Linked DNA regions of Struthio camelus. The protein of the gene in region 1 interacts with the protein of each later gene in a pairwise test. Links are inferred from orthologs where the notes say so. Each region holds a gene or a part of one and is shown on either strand. Other genes may lie near its edges. The genes, in order: RNF103 and ubiquitin-conjugating enzyme E2 E2.

Region 1 (10,358 bases):
GGCGGCGGCGGCGGCCGTCGCGCAGGCAGCGCCGCGGGCAGCCCGGGGGCCTCGGCGGCGCTCGGCGCAGGCAGAGCAACGGGCAGCCCGGGGGCCTCCCGGCGGGCCGCCAAGGGCGGGGCGGTGAGTGTTGGTCAGGCAACGCCGCGGACAGCCCCGGAAGGGCCTCGCCCCCCGCCGCGATGGGGGGAGTGAGTTGCCCCTCTCGAGCCGGCGGAGGCCTCAGCAGCGCGGGCCTCTAGGCTCCCCCCTTAGGCAGCCCGCGGGGCGGGCGCTGAGAATAACAGTCTAGGGCGAGGGGGGTCCTCAAAGTGCCGTGTTACGACTCAGGCAGTAAGGTAGGCAGCTAAGAGCGGGGTCCTGCGGGTGCCGTTGCCATGGTGACAGGCGCGGCCCGCGGGGCCCTGATGTGCGGCCCAGACCGGGCCGCACCGGCGGCTCCTCGGGCCGTGGCGGAGGGGGCCGAGGGGTCTCCTGCGCCGTGGGGCGCCGCCGGCTGGGGCTGGTCCCTTAGGTGTAACTTAGCCCCCGTGCTGAGGTGAAAATCGCCGGGCAGCAGCCCGTCGCGGCGGGAGCGGAGCTCCGCGGGGGCCGGGGGCAAGGCCCTTCCCCACCGCCCCCAGCCTTGCACTGCTACGTACCGCCGAGAGGCTTGGAGCGGGGTCAGTGCTTCATTAACAATCCTGGCGGGCCGGAAACGGAGGATTTAGGCTGTCATTAGGGCACTAGCTTGGCCAGCAAACTTCCTCTTGAGTGTTGAGTCTCGTGGGTTAAAGTCCTGCAGCCGACTGATGAGCGCGGTTGAAAGAGATGCATGCCCCTGTTTGCTTGAGTATCGCTTGGTTGGCGTACTTGTGGCAACTTCAGTGTTTGGAAAGTGTAGCACAAACCAGACCGTGGCCCCACGGTTTCTGTAGCGCAGTACATCAAAACCTCCTGCTCAACTAGACAAAACTACCTGCAAAAACAGCACTTGGTCTGAGCCTGGAGTGATGTTGTGTCGTCTGTGCCCGTGTAAAGTACTGCTGAAATAGGATAAGAAAATAGAGAAATCTGTATTCTCTTGCAAGAGCACGTGATTTGTGTAGATGCCTACAAGTGGCTGTCATTCTGTTGGATTCAGACCAAGACTGCTGCCCTTGTTTGTAGTCTTATTCTTTATGTAACCATATGTGATGTTTAAAGCCATGCAAATATCATCTTGGGTTTTATGTCATTAGCATGCTGGTTTGATTTGTTACGTTCTTCACCACTGTATTCTCCTTTGTCTTCTGTTAGCATAGGCAAGCAAGTTCACTTTTTTTTTTTTTGTCATTAAACAAAACCTATGTCTTTTGCAGGGAGCAGTAAATGGATTCTCACTGTTAGAAAAAAGAAAATATTACCTGCTTCAAAAAAAATGATCCTTTATTTCAAGATTTAATTAATCCATTTTGCTCCTGTATATTGGTTTGGCCTTGATACGTGTTCAGTTTCTGTGACATTGACTACTGCGTATTTGAAGGCAAGGGAACTTGCCACGGGACGGGGAAGAGTGACTCTCAGCTACAACTAATAAAATGCTTGACTAGATAAAGCTTTGAGCAACCTGGTCTGGTGACATAGCTGGCCCTGCTTTTTGAGCAGGCGGCTGGACTGCGTGACCTCCTGGCATCCCTTCCATCCTGAATTATTCTATGATTCATTACTAGATCATGTAAGGAGTGCCTCATTTAAATAGCTAGTGCTTTAGTTGAGCTGTCAAATCTTGGCCATCATGCTGCAAAATAACATCTACGTGTTAAATCTGTGTCCTTTTGGCCACTTGTAGATAATAGGAAACACCTTACAGTTTCTCCACATGTAATAAAATAGTGTTATTTGGCTGCTGCCATTTTGCTTTGAGACTCTCACACGCACTTACTGGCTGTTTTGAATAATATCAGTTAATGACAAGTAGGCAGGGTGTCATATAATGTATACAATTTGTGGCAATGCACCTATATTGTAGAAAAAGTACATCAAGGGATAGTATGTGAGTGAGCTCCTAACAATTACACTTACAGAGCAGGCTGACTCTTAGGAAAACTGGTTTCAGATAGTCTAAATGTTAGTTTGCTCAAATTTATCTTGTTGTATGTCAATATTAAAACCGTGCAAGAAGAGGGTATGATAGTATTTAACTTGGCAAGGGATTTAACTTGGTAAGGGACTGACTTACAATTTTCAGTTTCAATGTTATGGACTTCAAAATGACAGCCCTTCTTTCAGTGTTCCCTGTATAAGACTGAGTCTAGGAAGTGGATTATTGCCTGTATTTCCAGGCTGCGGAGTCAGCAACTGCCCGTCAGGAAGGATGGGGGAGGAGAGGGAATCCTTGCCATTTATCAAGGGGCAGCTGAGGCTTCAAATTTGGCCCTCTGACAAGAAAAGATGGTTGTCCCATTTCTCAGGATTTGGTCTCGTTCTCTGGTAAATCATAGTAAAATATTTTTGCTGCCAAGATTGTTTAAAAGCAAATCCCTGCTTCAGGTTTATGTTTAAGGGTAGGACTTACATACTTCATTCTCTTCACGTTTGTAAGACTGCTCTATGAGCATCGGACTGACTGTCTGATGGCTGTTTAATATCGTTAATTAGGTTGAGTTAACACTGGGGTCTTTAAAAATGTCAGCATCTTTCTTGTTTGCCTTCAGCCCAAATGAGTTTTCAATTCACTGTTCTCTGCATTTCCAGATAATTAAAATCCCTGAAAACGTGTTTGCAGCTGACACGTCAAAGACATTCGGAGTTCCAGCTAGAAACCAAGAAATGCCGGTTGCGTCTAGAACATCATGGCCAGTTCAGGTGGGGTCAGTTTAATAAGTCAGGGATGCGAAGGTGGGGAGAAAAAAGAGGATGAGAGAGTCTGGGAGAGGAGAATTGTTTTAGGAGGTCTTTCTCACTGTACTCAAATATGAGTCCGAGGAAGAAAATCCAAGCCTCTGTTAATATGTCAACATTTTCTGGTTTGTTTGAGCAGAGCCCTCAGTGCTGTGGGAAAGTCTCCTAGGCACCAGTGTTTTAGCACAGAGGCCCCAGGTCTGCTGCTCAGCTTTCCTAGCAATAATCCTTTTCTCTTCCAGGCTTTTGGTTAACTCACCTGCAGTGGCCAGTTCCTGGTCATACCAGTGCCCAGTATGCTTTCCATTTGCGGCTGTGCCCCTATTCATCATTGCTTTCTGTTGCCCCTTTGCCTCTGTGTTCATAGCTGCTTTGCTTTTGGTTGTTTGGGGGGCTTTTGAACAGTGGTTTGAAACATACTTTTTACTTTCTTGAAGTTACTCCAGGGTTTTGAGTTTTGGCAGATGATTAGCTTAGTATCTGCAGGGGACTCATCATCACTTACCACTGGGGAATGTTAGGAACTGATTTAACTCAGCCCATGAGCATTAGGAAATGACATATTGGTGACAGCCTCCCCAGCAGTTGGTGTTGCAAATAATTTTGCTGTGAGTGTAGACTATTAATTGTTGCTAGGTGCTTTCCAGCTGGAGGAAGCCAGACTATCACTAAGCACAGCACACAGCCTGAAGCAATAAGGGGAAGGAGGGGATACAACAAAGTGATTGGGTGGAGAAGGGTCTACAGCTTCTCGTGTTAAAAACAAAATGCTTTTTTTCTTTTTTAACTCAACACACAAAGTTTCTCTGCAAACATTTAACTCCGTATCTTCCTCCCACCCAGCACTCCACTTATTCTTGAGCTGCTCACTTGAAACAAAAAGTACAGAAATCAGGCAGCTTCTTGTGTGTGTCACAGAAGAAAGGGGTCTTCATGAAGCTTTTAGAAGAGAAGAAAAATGTGGTTTTCTTGGTGTGTTTTCAATACTTGAGAGCCTTCCTTTGGTCCTAGCGACAGGTGATGTTGAGTGTGCTTTTTATTGAAAGTACTTTGGCTCTTCGAACAGTAAGAACAAAACCGTTCTCAGTTTTGTTTTGGCCAAGGGGAAAGGATTAATCCTAGTGAGGTGGCCGCTTTCATATTAGGGAGATGGCCACTTACTCCGTTGAAGAGGGAGCTTATGCAGCTTTAATGTACTATGAAGGAGGAGGCAGCGCTTCAGCCCTGTCCTCCCACAAGCTCTTCCTGTCGACTGTTCCTCCAGTACGTTGTCCTCACGCTGCACTTCCCACAAGAGGCTCGCTTCAAATCAGAGTGAACTGATGAAATCAGTTTGCATTTAATTAAGCAGCATCAGCAGAGCTGGGTTTTGCAGTCCACCCTCTCCGCCTTTAATTTTTACTGCACCACATAAAAAAGGTATGGAGAATAAGGGTTGAGATAGCTCCTGATATGAGGCACAAAATTTACACGCCCCCAAGGGCTTGGTTGGTGGGCAGCTGCTTCTACAATCTCTCTCCTCTTCCACTTTCCAGAAAACAAACTGCACTGGGTCCGTTGCAGAAGAAAATAGCGTCCCGAATTTTCCTCTTGAAGAGGCAACGGCTGTGCACGAACGTGCAATACCAGGCAGGCTGAACCTGCATCCCACTCTGCCCAAATCTTAGGCTGGATAGGTTAGGGCACGGAAAGACAAAGGGAAAGGATAGAGTTCTTATTCCTCTTCTAGAACTGTTGACATTTTGCCTTTTTTTTTTTTTCCTTTTCTTTAAATCATACCACCCTATAAATGTGTTTAACAGTTCTGAGGAGTTTGGCTATGTAAATGCTTTCTCTCTCCAGGTCAATTTTAATGTTATCTTTTAAAAATGTGATTTTTATACCCTGGTGCGGAATTACTTAAGCCCGTACACTCTGTGGGGTTGTCAGTGTTTTGAAAATTAAGCTGTGCTATTTTTGCAGTCATGTGTATGAGTTGGTAATTTTCATGCAAATCACGGTGTCTTAAAATAACCCAACATACAGAAGAAACGTCGAGTTTCCTTCAGAGGAGAGCCTTCAGCTCAAAGTTTGAATTTTAGTACCTGTTTCGAAGCAGGCCAAACGGAGTCTTTACAGCCGCCTTAGACGGACCAGGACTATGTGCAGAGCGCTTAAGCAAGGCTCCATGCTGCATTTACAATTGCTTCAGCGTTGAAGAATAAAAACAATTTTGAAATGGTTTTCAGAAGCTGCGGTGCGGGTTTCTTGGTTGCCTTCTCCTCGGGCAGTTCAAGCTGCTTTTCAAGTTTGTGAGCACCACGGCGAAGCTGCAGAATTTGCCTCTCGCTCCCGTGCAGCCGAGTTTCACTGTCTCACTTACTGCAGCAGCAACCGACAGCTCCCGGCCGGCCGGGAGCCCCGTCGCGGAGAACCGCCGAGAGAGGGGCTAATCCCCCCCGCGAACAGCTTGCCATCACCCTCCCAGTCAACTGTTTCCATTCGGTTGTCTTAAAACTGTCCAAACACATCCGCTCCGTTTAGACTGAGTAAATATTTTTTCTGCTGATGAAAAAATGCCAGTCTGGGTTTTCCGTTTCCCAGCTAGCAGATCTAGCATCCCTAGACAGATAGACAGACGAAATCTGTATTTTATCTATATAATCTATATTTTAGGTATATATATTTTATGTATACATGGATATGTATTTTTTTAAGTAACCACAGCACGGGTTAAGGCGAGCAGGCGTTACCTGCGAGCTGCTTTATCCCGTCACTGATTTATTGGGGGGGGGGGGATTTGGATTTATTATGGGGTTTATTATTATTTGTTATTGGATTTGGGAGGGAGCGGGGAGGGGGGGGGGGTCACATCGCTCGCGCGTCCTCGGCCAAGGGGTGTTGGGGGTGAGGGGGGGGGGATGTTTTGTGGTGGTTTCGCTCGAGGCGGCGGTGCTGAATCACGGCGGGGGGAGGCGTCGCCGTGAGGCCGGGCGCCCCCTGCCGCCCTCGGCGCCTCGCTCGGTGGCGGGGCGGCCCCGGGGAGGCGGAGCGGAGCGGGGCGGGCAGCGGGGGCCCCGGCCGCCGCCTCTCCGCCTCCTCCCTCCCTCCCTGGGCGCTGCCGCAGGCGCGGCCCCCCCCGCCCGCCCCGCGCAGCGCCGGCGGCGGCCGCCGCGGGGAAGATGTGGCTGAAGCTGCTCTTCCTGCTGCTCTATTTCCTGGCGCTCTTCGCCCTGGCGCGGGTGTTGGAGGCGGCGGCGTGGTACGAGACGGGTTTCTTCGCCACGCAGCTGGTGGACCCGGTGGCGCTGAGCTTCCGGAAGCTGCGGACCATCCTGGAGGGCCGCGGGCTGGGCTACGCGGGGCTGCCCGAGAAGAAGGATGTGCGGGAGCTGGTGGAGAAGTCAGGTAGCTGCCGGGGTGGGGAGGCGGCGGTGGGGCCGGGCTGCCCCGGCCCCTTCCTTCCCCCTCCCCAACGGGGGCCGCCGGGGGAAGGGGAGGCGGGAGGTTTGGAGGGGCGCCGCCGAGCCCGACAGGCGAGGCTGGGCCGGGTGCCCCTGCGCCCCTCTTGCCGCCGCGGGTTGCGCCGTCCGGGCCAGGGCCGAGGAAGGCGGTGGGTTTGGAGAACGAGGCGCAAGAAGTAGAGGCCGCAGGCCGAGGATGGCCCCGAGGGAAGGGAATTAGGCTGGAAAAAACCCACGCGGAAAGGCGAGGGGGTGTTTGGGGAGGGGGAGGCCCGAGGGAGCGGCGAAGGACGGGGAGCGGCGGAGGTCGCGGACGGAGGTCGCGGACGGTCTCGCAGGAAAGGACGAGAGGGCCTGCAGCAGCGGGCCGGAGAGGGAGCGGGCGTAAATCATCCCCGCAGCGCCGGTGTCATCGCTGCTCTCAAATTAACAGCCATCGATCTGAGAGAGAGAGACGTCGTGGCCGGCCAGACGGACAGCACCGAGGCACCGACCTACGCCGGCTTCGAGACGCTCTCGCTCTCCTTACTAACTCCTGTGCACGCTGGGCGTCTGAGATCTCGTTTGCTCCCGTGGTTTCATCGCTTGTTTAGGTGGTTTGTCGGCTTTGCCGCTTGGAAAGCCCACGGGGCGATTTCACTCTTGCTTCCGGCCGCTCTGGCTCGTCGGGCGCTTCCGTGGTGTCGTCGTGTTGGGGTTGCGAATGCCGCAGGGAAGCGTTTGACTCCAAACGGACCGTGCTAACCGACTTCTTAAAATGCCATGGAAACGCTTTTAATACCAACAGGCTTTGCAGGATTTTTTCCGTAATTTTTTTTTTTTTTTCCCCTACGTTGTATCGATAGCTTTGGGAGCGCCCCGAGGGGTTTCAGCGGTAACGCTTTTTTTTTTTTTTTTTTTGGCTTTTCGTTTGGTAAGAAACAGCCTCTTTGGACAGCACTTCGTTTCTCCAAACTGAATGAGTTGCTTGTCAAAACGCAAGTTGTTACTAACAGTGTTTGTAAAGACTGTGAAACAACACATGAGAGGGAAACGAGATTACAGAGGAAATGCTATGAAAATGCTTTCCCGTGAGTTACTTGCGTTGCTAGGACTGGAGATCTTGGAAGCTTTTTCGTACTTAGCAGACAAAACCCAGCCGCTAACCTGGTCTACGTTAGATTTTTGCTTACAGTGGGATAATCAACATGTTTTGGGGTGCAACAGTATTGACCAGAATTCTGGAAATCCGCTTGAATTATCAGCGTTAACAATTCGTGTGCGCTGTAAAAATACCATCCTGCGAAATAGAAGTGAAGATACCTAAATTAAACTGCTGTCTGCCATTGAAATATTGCTATTCTCAGATAGTGAGGCTCAGGTGTGCCTTAACTTTTTTTGCGTGTTTGGTTGCATGTATATGGTACCTCTGTGTAATGAGAATATATTGCTAATGCCCTCTGTGGTCTGACAGCTGACGTCAAATTGTTTGTAGTCATGTCGCTACACACAGAACTGAAATAAGTTTGCAATAAAGTTCAGTTGCCTTCATGCTGAAAAAGTCCTGTAAGCAGCCACACAAAATATATTTAATGAAATTGCCACTCTCAGAAAAACAATTGGCATTACTATCAGAATTTTGTCATGATCTTTCTCAAGTGTCATTTAGACTGTATTTCTCTTACTGTCTCTTTTTCAGGAGACCTCATGGAAGGAGAGCTTTATTCTGCTCTCAAGGAGGAAGAGGCCTCTGAATCAGTTTCAAGTACAAACTTCAGTGGGGAAATGCACTTCTATGAGCTTGTGGAAGACACAAAAGATGGGATCTGGCTGGTACAGGTATAGAAATTGTACAAGTTATTTGTTTATATTTATCATATTCAAAATATGTTTCAAAGGAGGCATTTATGAGGGTAGTTATGTAGTAGGAAGAGCGTGAGATCTAAGGAGCAACTCTGTTCAAAAAAGCAGGCAAGGCTAGAAATGACGGCGTTCCTGCGCGGGCAGGAGTAACACCTGTTATTGTGTGGATTGCTCTTTGAAAACCAGGCGCTTTACAACCAGAAGTGGGCATAGCAGCACATACTTAAGAATATGGTCTGCACAATATGGCCCTGATAGCGTCAGAGCTTGTGTTTTGTGTGTCAAGTGGGTGTGTTAAGTATTTGTGCTCCCAGCTGGCCTAGGAGAGGTGCCTCTGGTCTTGCTCTTACCTTGCGGTTGCTCCATGCGTTCCGTGCTCAGACCCAACCGGTTTAAGCTTCCATTTATCTAAGGGGCTTAGAGCAATTCTACAATCTCTGTTCTCCCTTCAGAGAGGCAAGATCTCAGTGTATTCCTTTCAGGGCTGTCAGGCTGATCCCACAACGTATTCCAGCAGCTTAAAGCTTACCTTTCTCCAAACGTTGTGGCCGCGTTGATTTTTAGCATGCTTCCCCAAGGATGCATGAGAATAAGTACATTTTGGGGGAGGGGGGAAAGACTTCTGCAAAAAGGATTCTGAAATAATTTGTCTTCACTCTTTAGAACGTGAGATAGTAATCTAGACAAAAAGGTAAAAAATGCTTTTCTGCATCAGTTTCTCCATTGATAAGAGATTTTATTTTTAGGTGCAAGTTCCCCCCTGCTAGCAGCTACACTGGGCAATCAGAATTCTTCACCAGACAATTCACTGTTTCGTTGACAGCTCTCTCCTGGACGAAATGCTTTGTCTGGTCTCCTCACTTCATGTTTTCTATTTAAGTAGAAGATTATCAAGATTTAAAGACTTTCTGTTATTAGACCTGCACTCTCACCACATCAGCTTTGACCCTAAAATAGACAACGAGAGGACAGATTACCTTCATAGTCCAAATAGCATTTGTATTTCGGGAGAGGTTTATTTAGTGCTCATTGAATCCAAGTTTCAGGTTTAAATCGTGCAGAAGGAGATTCTTCAACTGGAGAGCGAGCATTGAAAGGATGTTTACTTAACATCTCCAAGGCAGCTGATAAATACATGCATGAATATACTGTGAAAAATCTTCTCTCCTCCCCATGCAATTCAAAAGAATAAAATATGGTAGCGATATGTTGTTGGTAGCTTCCGGAATTTTAATCATAATACATTTTCAGCTAGTTTCATAACAGGAGATCAAATAGGCTGCATTTTTGATATCTCCTAGTGTGATGAATGTTGTCATCATTTTGGGAATATTTGAACAGCTATTCAGTTGGTCACAATATCTGTGAAAAAAATTTGAGTGGAATTTACTGAACAATTTACTCGCTGAATGCTGTTTGTCTGGTTCTCCATGGTAAAATATATGCTAGAAATGTCATATTTCTTTTTTTTCATCCTTGCCTTCACTCCAGTTTTCATCACTTTGAGTTTTCATTAGTTCCTTTTCTCTTCCTTCCCCTCCCTGCTCCTCTCCTGCACCGTATTCTTCATGTTCGTGTGCAGATTTCACCTTGCTGTTTTGTTATTCCTCTTTCCTCTAAAGCTTCTTCTAACCATCACTTCCCTGTTCTAGTTCCTTCTTACTCTCCCTTGCTCAGCCTGCCTTATCATTAGGCACGCCTTGGAAACTTTTGCATTGACTCGATGCAGGAGATAATATCAGAGTGAGGATGCCTTGTGCATAGATTCAGTGACCGTAATGAAGGAGAGAGCATTCCCTTGCTCTCCTGTTGCTGCTGGCTGGGAAGCAGAAAGGCGCTCCAGGTCCTTCAGGATCCTTGACCCTGCATTTCTCTTCCACACTGGCTGCTGGACAGCAGTAGAGGAAAAGGAGCAGTTCTGGCTCAGCTGACGCGGTGGTTGTTGCCTGAGGTGGTTTCGAAGGCTTTATGATGATGTATCAGGAGACAGGAACTCTGAAGATGGTTTTTATTTTCTAGTGATTCTTTCCAAGGCATGTAAAAGAAATTTCTAGGTGGCACAGGCCAGTAATGTGATCGCAAACCCTATCTGCAGAGAATCAGAAGATAAAGAGGAAACAGCTGTTATTTCTTGATATATTTGACACAAATTCAGAAGTGAATTTATCATTTAGAGCCGGCAAAATGAATTTCTTGAAGAAAGTCAAAGTC
Region 2 (10,595 bases), on another chromosome or scaffold:
TGCAGCCTTAGGAACAGTTCCAGTGTAATTAAGAGTGCCTGCCCCTTCCCTGAAGTTGCTGCCTCTGCTGTTTGCTTGCTTTGTTGCAGGTGAGAGAGGAAGATGAGCACTGGCTGTTCTGTTTCCTGCTCCCTGAGCGTCTGCAGGAGGAGCTCAGGGAAGAGTGGACTGGAGTTTGTCAGGCTCTAGCTAGGCCTATAGACAAAAGATGTCATTTATTCCCTGTGACAGTTACCACTGACGCAGGAAGAGACCAAAGATATTTTTTTCATCCTGTGCTTCTCTCTGGACTTTGCCCCTAGCAGCTGCTTAATCGGCATTATTTGGGTAGTGTGCAACTGACCATCAGCCAGAAAGGATAATTTAGGTTTATCACACTGCAGACATGCCCCTTTATTCCTTCCAGGTACAGCCTAAACCAAGCCCCTTGGCCAGGATCTTCAGGAAAGAAGTGCAAAACATGACTAGCCTGGCTTACGGCTGCGGGGGACTTCCATTTCGCCTGGGGAATCCCCAGCAGAGGACATGTGGGTTGTTTCCACTCTCCACAAGGCAGACAATCTGCTTCAGACTGACTGCGGTTCCTTGGGCTTCTGAAATATATTTGGTCGTCGAGATTGAAAGGATTGAACAACCCTACTATATGGGGTTTGTTTTGCTATGGTGGATGTACTAGCCACCTTAAGGAGGCACTCCTGAAGGGTGCATTAATCATGCATTAACCATAGAGGAGGTTAGGCCATATCTCCTGGAACCTTAACTTTATTAAAAGGGGGCATGAGTATCCACAGCTGTCTCTTTCTGTGTAAAGATGTAACTTTCTATGCAGAATCACAAAGAGATCCTCCGAATTTTGCCCATCTTTAGTATAAAGAGCCCTGATCCTGTAAATTAAGGTGTTACAGAACCAAAAGAAAATAATAGGAATGTGGAAGTGCTGAAAAGAGGGTGGAAATAACACTAAAAAAAAATCCCAACTTTCTTTTCTAACTTACCTTCACTTTTCAACATTGTCTCCCACCTATGGTGATGAATTAAGACAGGCAATGCAGGGAATTCTTCCAGTTACAGGTCACTGCCTTACAATAGCTTTGGAAATAAAAGATTTCACCCTTCAGCACATACAAGATGAGATTTTTAAAGCAGTGCCTTAGTCTAGGACTCAGTGGTTAACAATTTCTGTCTAGAAACTATCAGAGAATTATCCTTTGCAATTATCTTAAGTTGGGCTCTAAACCAGCAAATAAAAACAAATCTCTTTTTCTGACACTAAGCAGTGATTTATTCCCTAACTTAAAGAAAAAGCTAGGCTTTCATTAAGAACACTGAAGAAAGTTATTACTTCCCTCCTACCTATCCCTAATATGTTTTATCTTCATTCTTTGGAATCCTGGCTAGTGAAGTGCCTGAGAACCACGAGGAGCTCTGATGCCACATAGTTATTGTCCCAGTTGTTTCTTCTGGTTCCAGTGGAATGATAGTGGGAGCTATCCTGCTTCTGAGCAAAGGGGAGGAGGAGGAGCTGCGGATTATTATTTTTTTAGGTGAGAGTAGAATGAAGGAGACCTTAAATTGTTTGCATCAGGCCTTACAACTCTTTTCCTATTTAACGGCTTGGAAAGATTAGGGTGGATGAATTCTAATTATTTGGGGGTTTTCACTATTGTAGGGCAAATAAAGAAGTCAGGCTAGTCTCTGTGCCCACACAATTATTTTACTTCAGAATGCCATGAAAATACTTTAAACAGATTTCTGTCAAGGTACTATCTAAGTAATAGGCTTACCCAGTGTTCAGGATTCAATCATTTTTCCTTAATACAGGATGATTTTTTTTTAAGCGATGAAGATATATGCAATTAACTGAAAAATCTAATGAAATTTCTACTACAGCTACCTTCCCAAAATCTGTTCTTGCTACTCCATTTATACTACATGCTGATAGCTGGAAAACAAAATGAACAAGAAGAATCTCGATCTCTGAAACACTCAAACGCTGTGTCTTGGGGCTCCAGAGAGCAGGGTTCTGTGAATTGCAGTTTACCTTTGCCAACAAACAGAGTGGGATTCAGCCAAGTGGGAACGAAAGCAAAGCAAGATTGTAGGAAAAAAAGACAAATTAGGTATGATGTGAGAATGAACTAACTGAACACAGGAGAAAGAAAAGTAGCAGGGAGGTGGAAAAGAGAATACAGTACAGGCCAGATACAGGCTCTGGACTATCCTTATGGCTTTGTACTGTCACAGCAGTGTAAAGAAAGCCAATAATGGGAGAGGAATCCCTTAGTAGCATAAAGCTCCTATAGAGATTCATGCTATTCTACCTTCCCACCTCAGTTTCTCAGGATAGAGGACAGGACTGGAAAAGAGAGGGCTATAGCTGGCTATTGGCTGCTCTCAAAACAGCATGATAGGGCCCAAGAATCATCAAACACACTGAGCAGCAGGGAAGAAATGGGGTGAGTGACACAAGATAGGATAGCCCCTGCTGAGCTGAAAAGTGGAATAAGGTAGTTCTTTACACCTTTGTCCCCATTCCTCCAGTCCTCTGCTGATAATAGCTCGAAGGGATGAAATGATCTGATTCATTAGGATTTGGCTGAAAGAGATGAATAGAACAACAGAGTGCTCCACAGACAATTGAGTATTTTTGATCTCAATCTTTAATATGAAATACTTAAGTTTTGAGAGTGAATTATGCTATCACAAGAGAGCTACTGTTAACGCTTTCAGCTGTATCACAGTCGAGATACTTCCTGGTCTTTTCTCTACTTGAGAAAACCAATCCCCTCAATTTGTATGTCAAGTATATACAAAATTGTTATCAGTTATAACTTGACCACAATGCACATTTAAAAACTTAAATAGCAATATTAAAAGGACGTGTCATTTTACATGTGAGCAGATGATAAGTTATGAATGCAAATGCAGAAGAAACCTCCAAGACTGGAACCTAAATTAATCCGATATATCTTTAAATTAAACATTCTTAAATGGAAACTTGTCTCAGATTTCTCCAACTTCATGGATTTTGATTGACATATATGTCCTTGTAACAGGCATGCTGAACCAAGAGGCCTTAACGGAAGTGTCCTTAACTGTAACAGTCATAAAGCGTGGCAGCCTGCGCCAGGTTATCTTAACTCTGAGTGTCTCTCTGAGAAAGCTGTAAGCTTTTATGAGAGTAAAGAACTCAAGTTGTTCCGGAGGTGTCCAGTATTCTAAAAAAGTGTAACGTGTGGCTTAGCACCCCATCGTGGTTGAAATTTCCATTAAGTTCAAAAGGGCCAGGATTTCACCATACGGGATGCAAACTTAACAAAAGTCTTCAAAAAGATTTTGAGTAACACACTATCATGCAACCTTTAACATCTGAGGGCTAAACATACTATTTCAGAAGGCTGACAGGATAAAACTGATACTTGGGAGCAGTTGGTTACCCTGACCTATTCCCTTTACACGACATAGGTAGGGCTCATTCAAGACCTTCACTTCAAAAATCAGAAGGCACGCTTCAGTGTGCAAGTTCAGGCAGTAAAATTATTAAGTACAAATACAGTACGAATATTAAGGCAGTACAAATTTTCTCCCTAGCTTAGTTGTCCTCAATGTAAGGTACCATTTAGGGTTTTGGGCCAGAGGTTATGCACCCAAATTAAAATCAGGGCCCGACTCTCAATGATTCAAACCCTCCACTTGGTGCTCCACTTCAGCACTCCCTTGATTTTTTTGGCACCAGGAATTTATGACCCAGATTCTGGGACATGCTATGGCCCTGTCCTATCCCTCTCTAAAGGAGTCTATTCACCGAGCTTCCCTCTTGTTGCTTCCTGTGGATTCTAGCAGGGAAGAACTGTAACGAAGCACACGGAACTGCCACCAAAGCGGAGTCCTGACACGGGCCAAGGAGTTTCAATAGATAGATATTCTGATGGGAAAACGTATGCCTCCTTTAAGGCACCTCTAAGCAATCAGAACAACGTTAAGAAAGTATGGTGGAAGACTCATTTAGAAGTGAATTTCATAGCTTCCTGGATGGTTTTCAGGAGGTCTGTTTCTGAATGCCTCAAAGAAAGGCATGATTTAAGTGATTTTGGAAAAGGAGACTGTGATACCAAGAGCGCGCAACACAGCCGGCACCCCTTCAGCATGATAACAAAGCACCACTTGCAGGAGATTTGCATTCGTTAAAAGATTGTTATGGATCATATTCTTTTAATTACCTAGTTATTAGTCCTTGTGAGGAATCAGTGCATGCCAGCAGCTAGAAACCCACCTAGCTGGAGCATCAGGAGCTTTTCCTCATGAGTTCATTAGAAGAAGGAGGAAAAGGTATCTTGTAAATGCACGTGAAATAGGAAGAACTAGCCGACTGCAGTGTTTTTAAGCCTATGTGAAAAACGTGACTAGGATTACTTTAATAAGGAAATGGGAAGACACAATAAAACAAGTTATTTCAAAGCAATTACTCAACAAAGAGAAAGATTAATTTTATGTAGATGGAAACTGCAAAAGTAACTTCTGTTGTCTGGATATAATATGAGAGAGAGGTGGCAATGGTGTTTCTAATCCTTAAATATCGCAGCAGTGGTTCAAGTTCTTGATTTGCATGTGTTTAGCAGTATGGACTCCATCTACACCATAACCGCAACTCAGAAAAAGTACAGTACTTTACAGCTCACATGGGGAGAAACTTTTCCTTGTACATGTGGAATAGCATGAATGCATTTTTTTTTTAATTCCCTTCAGTCATCAGTAAGGGGAAAACATTATGACCTGCCATTACTCCTTTACCCAGGGTGGGTGTATTTCCCTGCTGGCCGAAGAAACGTTTGAATTAATATATTTGCACAGCCCAGCTAAGCATCAGTTGCATGTTAGGCGAAGCTTGAAGAAGTAATGCCAGTACAGCGTTTTAGGCAGAACTAGCATTTCAGCTAGGGCGGTAGAGCTGGTTACCTCACAGCCAGCCCTGCCAGGGGTTTGTTTCGTTCCAGGCTAATATCATTAATACCGAATAGGTAACATCTAAGCGTGGCTCTGCCTTGGCCTCTCCCACTCCGTAAGGCAAGGCCTCCCTCCCGGCGTGGGAGGCCAGATGCGCTCACCTGAGCGCAGCCACGCTGCAGCACCCATCTCCAGCCGGGATGCTTTACGTCATCGGCTGCTCTCAGCCGCCCCGGGCTGTTTGTACCACCCAGCCGCGTATCCGCGGCCAAAACGACCACGGCGAACACTTAACTATGACAACAAAGTACCAGGTCTGGCCCTGCCGCCGCTGCTGCGCCCTGCCCGGCCACGCGTGGGTGCCCCCCTGCCGGCCGGGGGGCCGCCGGCCGCGCCTGCCCCCCCCCCCCCCGCCGGGCACCGGCCTTCCCCGCCCGGGGGGGGGGGGGGGCGGTGGGCGAGGACAAAGGCAGCGCGGTGGTGCGGGGCTCCCGCACGGGCCCGGCTGGCAGCACCGCAGCAGGCAAAGCCGCGGGGCTGAAAGCCGAGGGAACAAAGAAACGCGAAAAGGGCAAAAGAAGAGCTAAGAAAGTGAACCCCGCCGGCGCCGCCGCCTCCCCGCCCCCGCTCACGGCCTGCCCCCCCCTCCCCCCCCGCCGCACCCCGTTAACGCTCACTCCGTGAGCTGCTCGGGGGCGGCGGGCACGCCAGCGGCAGGAATTGGGGGGGGGGGGGAGAAGCGCTAACCTGCCCCCCCTCGCCAACGGCCGCCGCCCCCCCCCCCCCATCCTGTCACTCCTCCTCCCTGCCCGGCTCCGCTCTAGCCCGCCCCGCCCGCGTTTCCCTTTAACGCGCGCTCCCGCCGGCGGCGCCCTCCCCCCTCCCCCTCCCGCCCGGCCGGCCCCCGCGGGCACGCGCCCGCCCCGCTCGCTTGTCACTCCCCCCCCCGCCGCCGCCGCCGCCGCAAGCGCGCGCACGCCCCTCCCTCCCTCCTCGGACCGCCAGCGCTGGGGCGAATTGGCTGCCAGGCGCGGGCGCGCGGAGCTAGCCGGGCGGCGGCGCGCGCGAGTGCGCGCGCGCGCGCGGAGGCGGCGGCGGCGGCGCGAGCGCGCGCGCGCGCGGCAGCGGCTTCACTTCTCTCCGGGCAGCAGGGGTAGGAGCGGCGGTGGGAGCAGCAGCAGCAGTGGCCGCCGCTGCTGCTGAGGGAGCGAGGGAAGAGGCGGCGGGATTAAAGGAAGAAAGAAGAAAAGAAAGAAGGAAGGAAAGAAAGAAAGAAAGAAAGGGCGAGCGCAGCGGGCTCATGACTCAGTGACCGGCCGCAGCCCCCCTGCAGCCCCCCGCCCGGCCGGACGCGGGGCGCCCGCCTCGCATCGCCCCGCAGCCTGAGCCCGGCGCCGCCGCAGACCCGCGCTCGCCCGCAGGTAGCGGCGACCCCTCCTGCTCCCCCCCCCCCAACCCAAATCCCGGTCCCGTCCGCCTCCCCTCCCCCACGCCAGGGCCCTGCCCGCTCCCACGGTGCCTACCTCTGCCCTCACCCCCCCCCATGTCACCCCCTGTCCCCCCCCCAGCATCTCCCCGCCGCCCCTCCCCTGCTGCCGCCATTCCCCCCCCCCCACCCCAGGCACAACTCCGCCGGCCCCGCTACTTGCCCCGTCTGCCAGCGGCCCCCTGTTCCCCCCGCCCCGGCCCCGCTCCGCAACCCGGGCCGGGGCACCCCCCCCCCCGGACATCCCCCCCGCCTTCCTCTCGCGGCCTCCTCTTCCTCCTCCTCCTCCCCCCGCGCGGCACCCTCCCCCCCCCCCCCCCACGGAGGAGCGGGGCGGCGGGGGCGGGTGTCAGGTTTGGGAAGTGCCCGTGGCCGTCTCACGCCGTCCTCCAGGACTGCATAGTTACTGCACATTGTGTCTCCGTGACATGCGCCGCCCCCTCCCCCTCCGGGCAGGAGGAAAATAGGCGAGTTGTGCGTGTGTTGTGCGTGTGTGTGTGTGTGTGTGTGTGCGCGCGTGTGAGTGTGCGTGTGCGGGGCCGTGTCAGCCGCCGCGGTGCCCCCGCCGCCCCGGGCCGGGCAGCGAGCGGGCTCCCCTCTCTGCCCTGTAGTGTTGTGATCCTCTTGCCCTTTACGGTTTCTAATGAAGACGAAGTAAGGCGGCTGCTCCTGTCTCTTCATGGACCCCTGCAGAAATATTCAATTTATCTTTGCTTATAGGAAATTAAGACCGCTTTAGAAGGGCATCATCACTAGCTCTGCTGCCCTTGGGACCCATCTGCGCGCTGCCAGGATCTCTCTTTCCCTGACTGCTGGATTTTTTTTTTTTTTTCCTCTTGAGAAGGGAGGGGAAGGTGCCAGTGGATATATACGACAGAAGCAGGGTCTTCTGGACGTGCTTCACTTAGAATTTATAGTTGTACTTAACAGTTGTAGTCTCTGTCGATGCTGAATCATCTCATGTTAAGGGAAGGACTTTTAAGTCCTTCCCCCCCCACCACACACAATTTTCTCAGCACAACAGCAGGAAGGTTAAAAACCCTTGTCCTATTCCACATGTAGAATAGTCTGGCAGCCGAGGGAACTGGACATCGTGTTTCTCTTTTTACTCTGTGTGACTGTTGCAAACACACTTACGGCTGTCTAGATTCAAGAAATATCTTGCATTTGTCTGTCCTGATTGCACGGAAATGTTTTCCTACAGTGTCATTCCCCAGCTGATTTTTCTTTTCCATTCTTTTATTTGTTCATGTGCTTGTTTTCTAAGTTTGGCCACATCTGAAGTGTCTGACTTCAGGGCTGTTAAAATACACTTTTTTCACAGTATTGAACATCCCTTTAACTATGCAAAATTTCTAAAATTGCAGGCATTAGGAGCGGAGGGCATGGAAATAATTGTCTCTGGATGTCAGAAAGGCGAACAGAGAGAGATGGGGAGAGAGAGAGAGACACAGAGCTGTGAGAGAGAAAGAATAAGAAACTAGCCAGACGTCAAATGACAGATTTAAGCGTTTTCCTGTTGTAAATGCTGGCATTACATGTTACAGTAATTATATGCTCTGGGCTACTGTTACAGTGTTTATCTGCTGGATAGCAACCTGAACTTATGAAGTGAATACAGTTGTTTTTGGATAATAGTAATATTTATAGCCAAGATTATTCACAGCAGATGTCTATGTATATAGGCTTCATTAAATACGCTTTTGACTTTCTGACCAGTAGCGCTAAATGATAGGTACATTGTGAAGATAATTTTGTGTTTAAAATTAGATGCACTAATCAAAGATCAGAAATAGAATCTAGAGTAAATAAAGGCCATCAGAAACATGATAAAAACAATCAGTTTGTATTTTAGCTGCATATAGAAGCAAATGAAGCGGGTCCCTGCTTTCCAATTTTCATTACAGTTATTAAATTCATATTATGACTTATCAAAGTATGCTACTCTTGTCTTTTATTGTCTCTAAGTCTTTTTTTTCTTTCATCATAACATTTGACAGCCAGGTTATAAATATCTAAAGATTAACCTGTGCAAATATGTGAATAACGGTGAATATGATATTGTATCTATATTGCAGGGAAAATTGTTCTGCTAATAATGAACAATTTTTATATTTTAATTTTAGAAATCAAACGATATATTATTTCAGTTCATGCAGCAGCCTAGGTGTTGTGCTTTTGCATGTATTTATATATGAATATATATTTATAAAACACTGCTTTTATGAACCTCAAAATGTAGCGTAAGTTGATTAAGAATAACCTAGTCCCACATCCATCACTTGCTATTTTTTTTAACCTTTTAACTATTTTGAATGCATTTCATACTTCCAGATTTTCCTTTCCTTTCTGTGTAGCCTCATAAATTAGACAGGAAAGATTTAATTCCTGCTTAAGTCAATTGGATTGAGTTATGTGAATAATGCCTGAAAAGATTGATTCTTCCACTCTAAAGTGCATACTACTTGATAGTATCAGATGTTGGTAAGGCTTTTACAAGATAGGAGTAAATTTGTTTTCTTACATGCAACTCTACCAAAAAAGCTTATGGCCTTTTTAAAAGTATCCTTTTTAGCATAACCCTGTTGACAATGATGTGACGCTGCTTTTCCTTTGCTGCCTCTTTCCATAACTACATGCAGGAAGATGGTGATCTTTTTAATTCATTAAATGAGCATGGTTAAATCTGAGCCTGCAATCCTTTTATTTTTTCTTGATAGAGTATTAAAACACGTAATAATCAAGGTGAATAGTTTTATTATTAAACGTGATGGTCTCTGTACATGAGATAGAAGGATAAGCAAGTTGAAGTTAGCAGCAATTTAAAACTCTGTGTATGAAAGAGCAAATTCTTGATTCAGACTGATTCAATCAGAAAACGACCCAGATATATGGGCAGTGCATGGGTTTAAGCAAGTAACATTTGGGCCTATGTGCTGTGAAAGTGGTTCTTTCATTAAAATCTCTAGAGGAAGACATATAAAATATTTATATAAAGTACAGATTTGGAGTTAAAGAAAATACTTTACTTTTAGTAAAATTTTCTAACAGTCATTGCCACCATATTTGCTAATTTACTAAGAGTTTTTCATGGACGTCTGCCTTTCATTAGAATAGTTAGAGAAGTCACGACAGCTGTAGCAGTGGGTTTGCAATTCTTCATCTGTCGGCATATTGTTTATTATGTTACTTAAAATGAAGGAAGAAAATCAAAATAGCTAACTCGTATCAGAAGTGTGCAAAAAATGCATTAGCTTGACTTATGAAATATACTGAAATGTCTTGTAGCTGGTATTCTCTGGTGGCTTTGTTGCCTGATGTCACTTGAACAGAATTCATCGGAAGAAAATGTCCTTATATCCTCTACCGATGTGTTTACCGTTCTAGAGGTGTGCTGTTTTAGTAAATACAAACAGTTCTGTGCTAGTGCCTTTTGGTTCTATTAATGTTTCCATCAAGCATGCCAAATAAGATGTGGATTTTGTAATGTGGAAACTCGCACTATAGTCTTGGAAAGAGCCCATAGATTTATTTCATATGGGATAACAGAGAGTCTTGAGATAGTAATAGCTTTCAATTTTTAACAAACTGTGTTAGATTTGAACTGGTGGCATAGTGATGAGATAGTTACATATCTCATCTCTGTGAGACACAAATCTGTTTTGCTTTATTTCCTTAAGGCACATAAAAATACTTTCAGGCAGTTTCTTCTGAAAAAGCTTTAACTTCTGTTGTTTGTGTTTTAGTGCAGCATCTGCCATGTCTACAGAGGGGCAGAGAGTTGATGATAGTCCAAGCACTAGTGGAGGCAGCTCTGATGGAGATCAGCGGGAAGGTGTTCAGCAGGAACAAGAAAGGGAGCAAGTTCAACCCAAGAAAAAAGAAGGCAAAATATCAAGCAAAACAGCTGCTAAACTGTCAACTAGCGCTAAAAGGTACAGTGTTCTTTCTGGCTGCTTCTTTTCCTCTCTTTTTCAGCTGGCCATCAGATGTATGTATTGATTCACTATATTCATTTTCTTACTGTTTTATTGCAACACGATTATGTCAATGTAATAGTCTTTTGAGGCTGGTCACAATAATGAGACCTGTGTACTTTTTTCCATTCTTTGACAGATTGGCTTTCTTTCACATGGTTTTAATAATAGCTTGCATGATAAAAGCT

Evidence for each region.
Region 2: the proteins of RNF103 (region 1) and ubiquitin-conjugating enzyme E2 E2 interact in a two-hybrid assay, tested with the Homo sapiens proteins (2 studies listed by BioGRID). The link is inferred for Struthio camelus from reciprocal best matches to the Homo sapiens genes RNF103 and UBE2E2.

Annotation. Positions count from the first base shown.
Region 1 is NC_090945.1:80,782,998-80,793,355, reverse strand, and holds the start of RNF103 (E3 ubiquitin-protein ligase RNF103), read left to right. Parts: upstream 1-5,963; 5' UTR 5,964-6,023; coding exon 6,024-6,249; intron 6,250-6,763; exon of another isoform or gene 6,764-6,898; intron 6,899-7,983; coding exon 7,984-8,123; intron 8,124-10,358. UniProt on the Homo sapiens protein: Acts as an E2-dependent E3 ubiquitin-protein ligase, probably involved in the ER-associated protein degradation pathway.
Region 2 is NC_090943.1:43,803,736-43,814,330, forward strand, and holds the start of ubiquitin-conjugating enzyme E2 E2, read left to right. Parts: upstream 1-6,001; 5' UTR 6,002-6,365; intron 6,366-10,176; 5' UTR 10,177-10,189; coding exon 10,190-10,365; intron 10,366-10,595.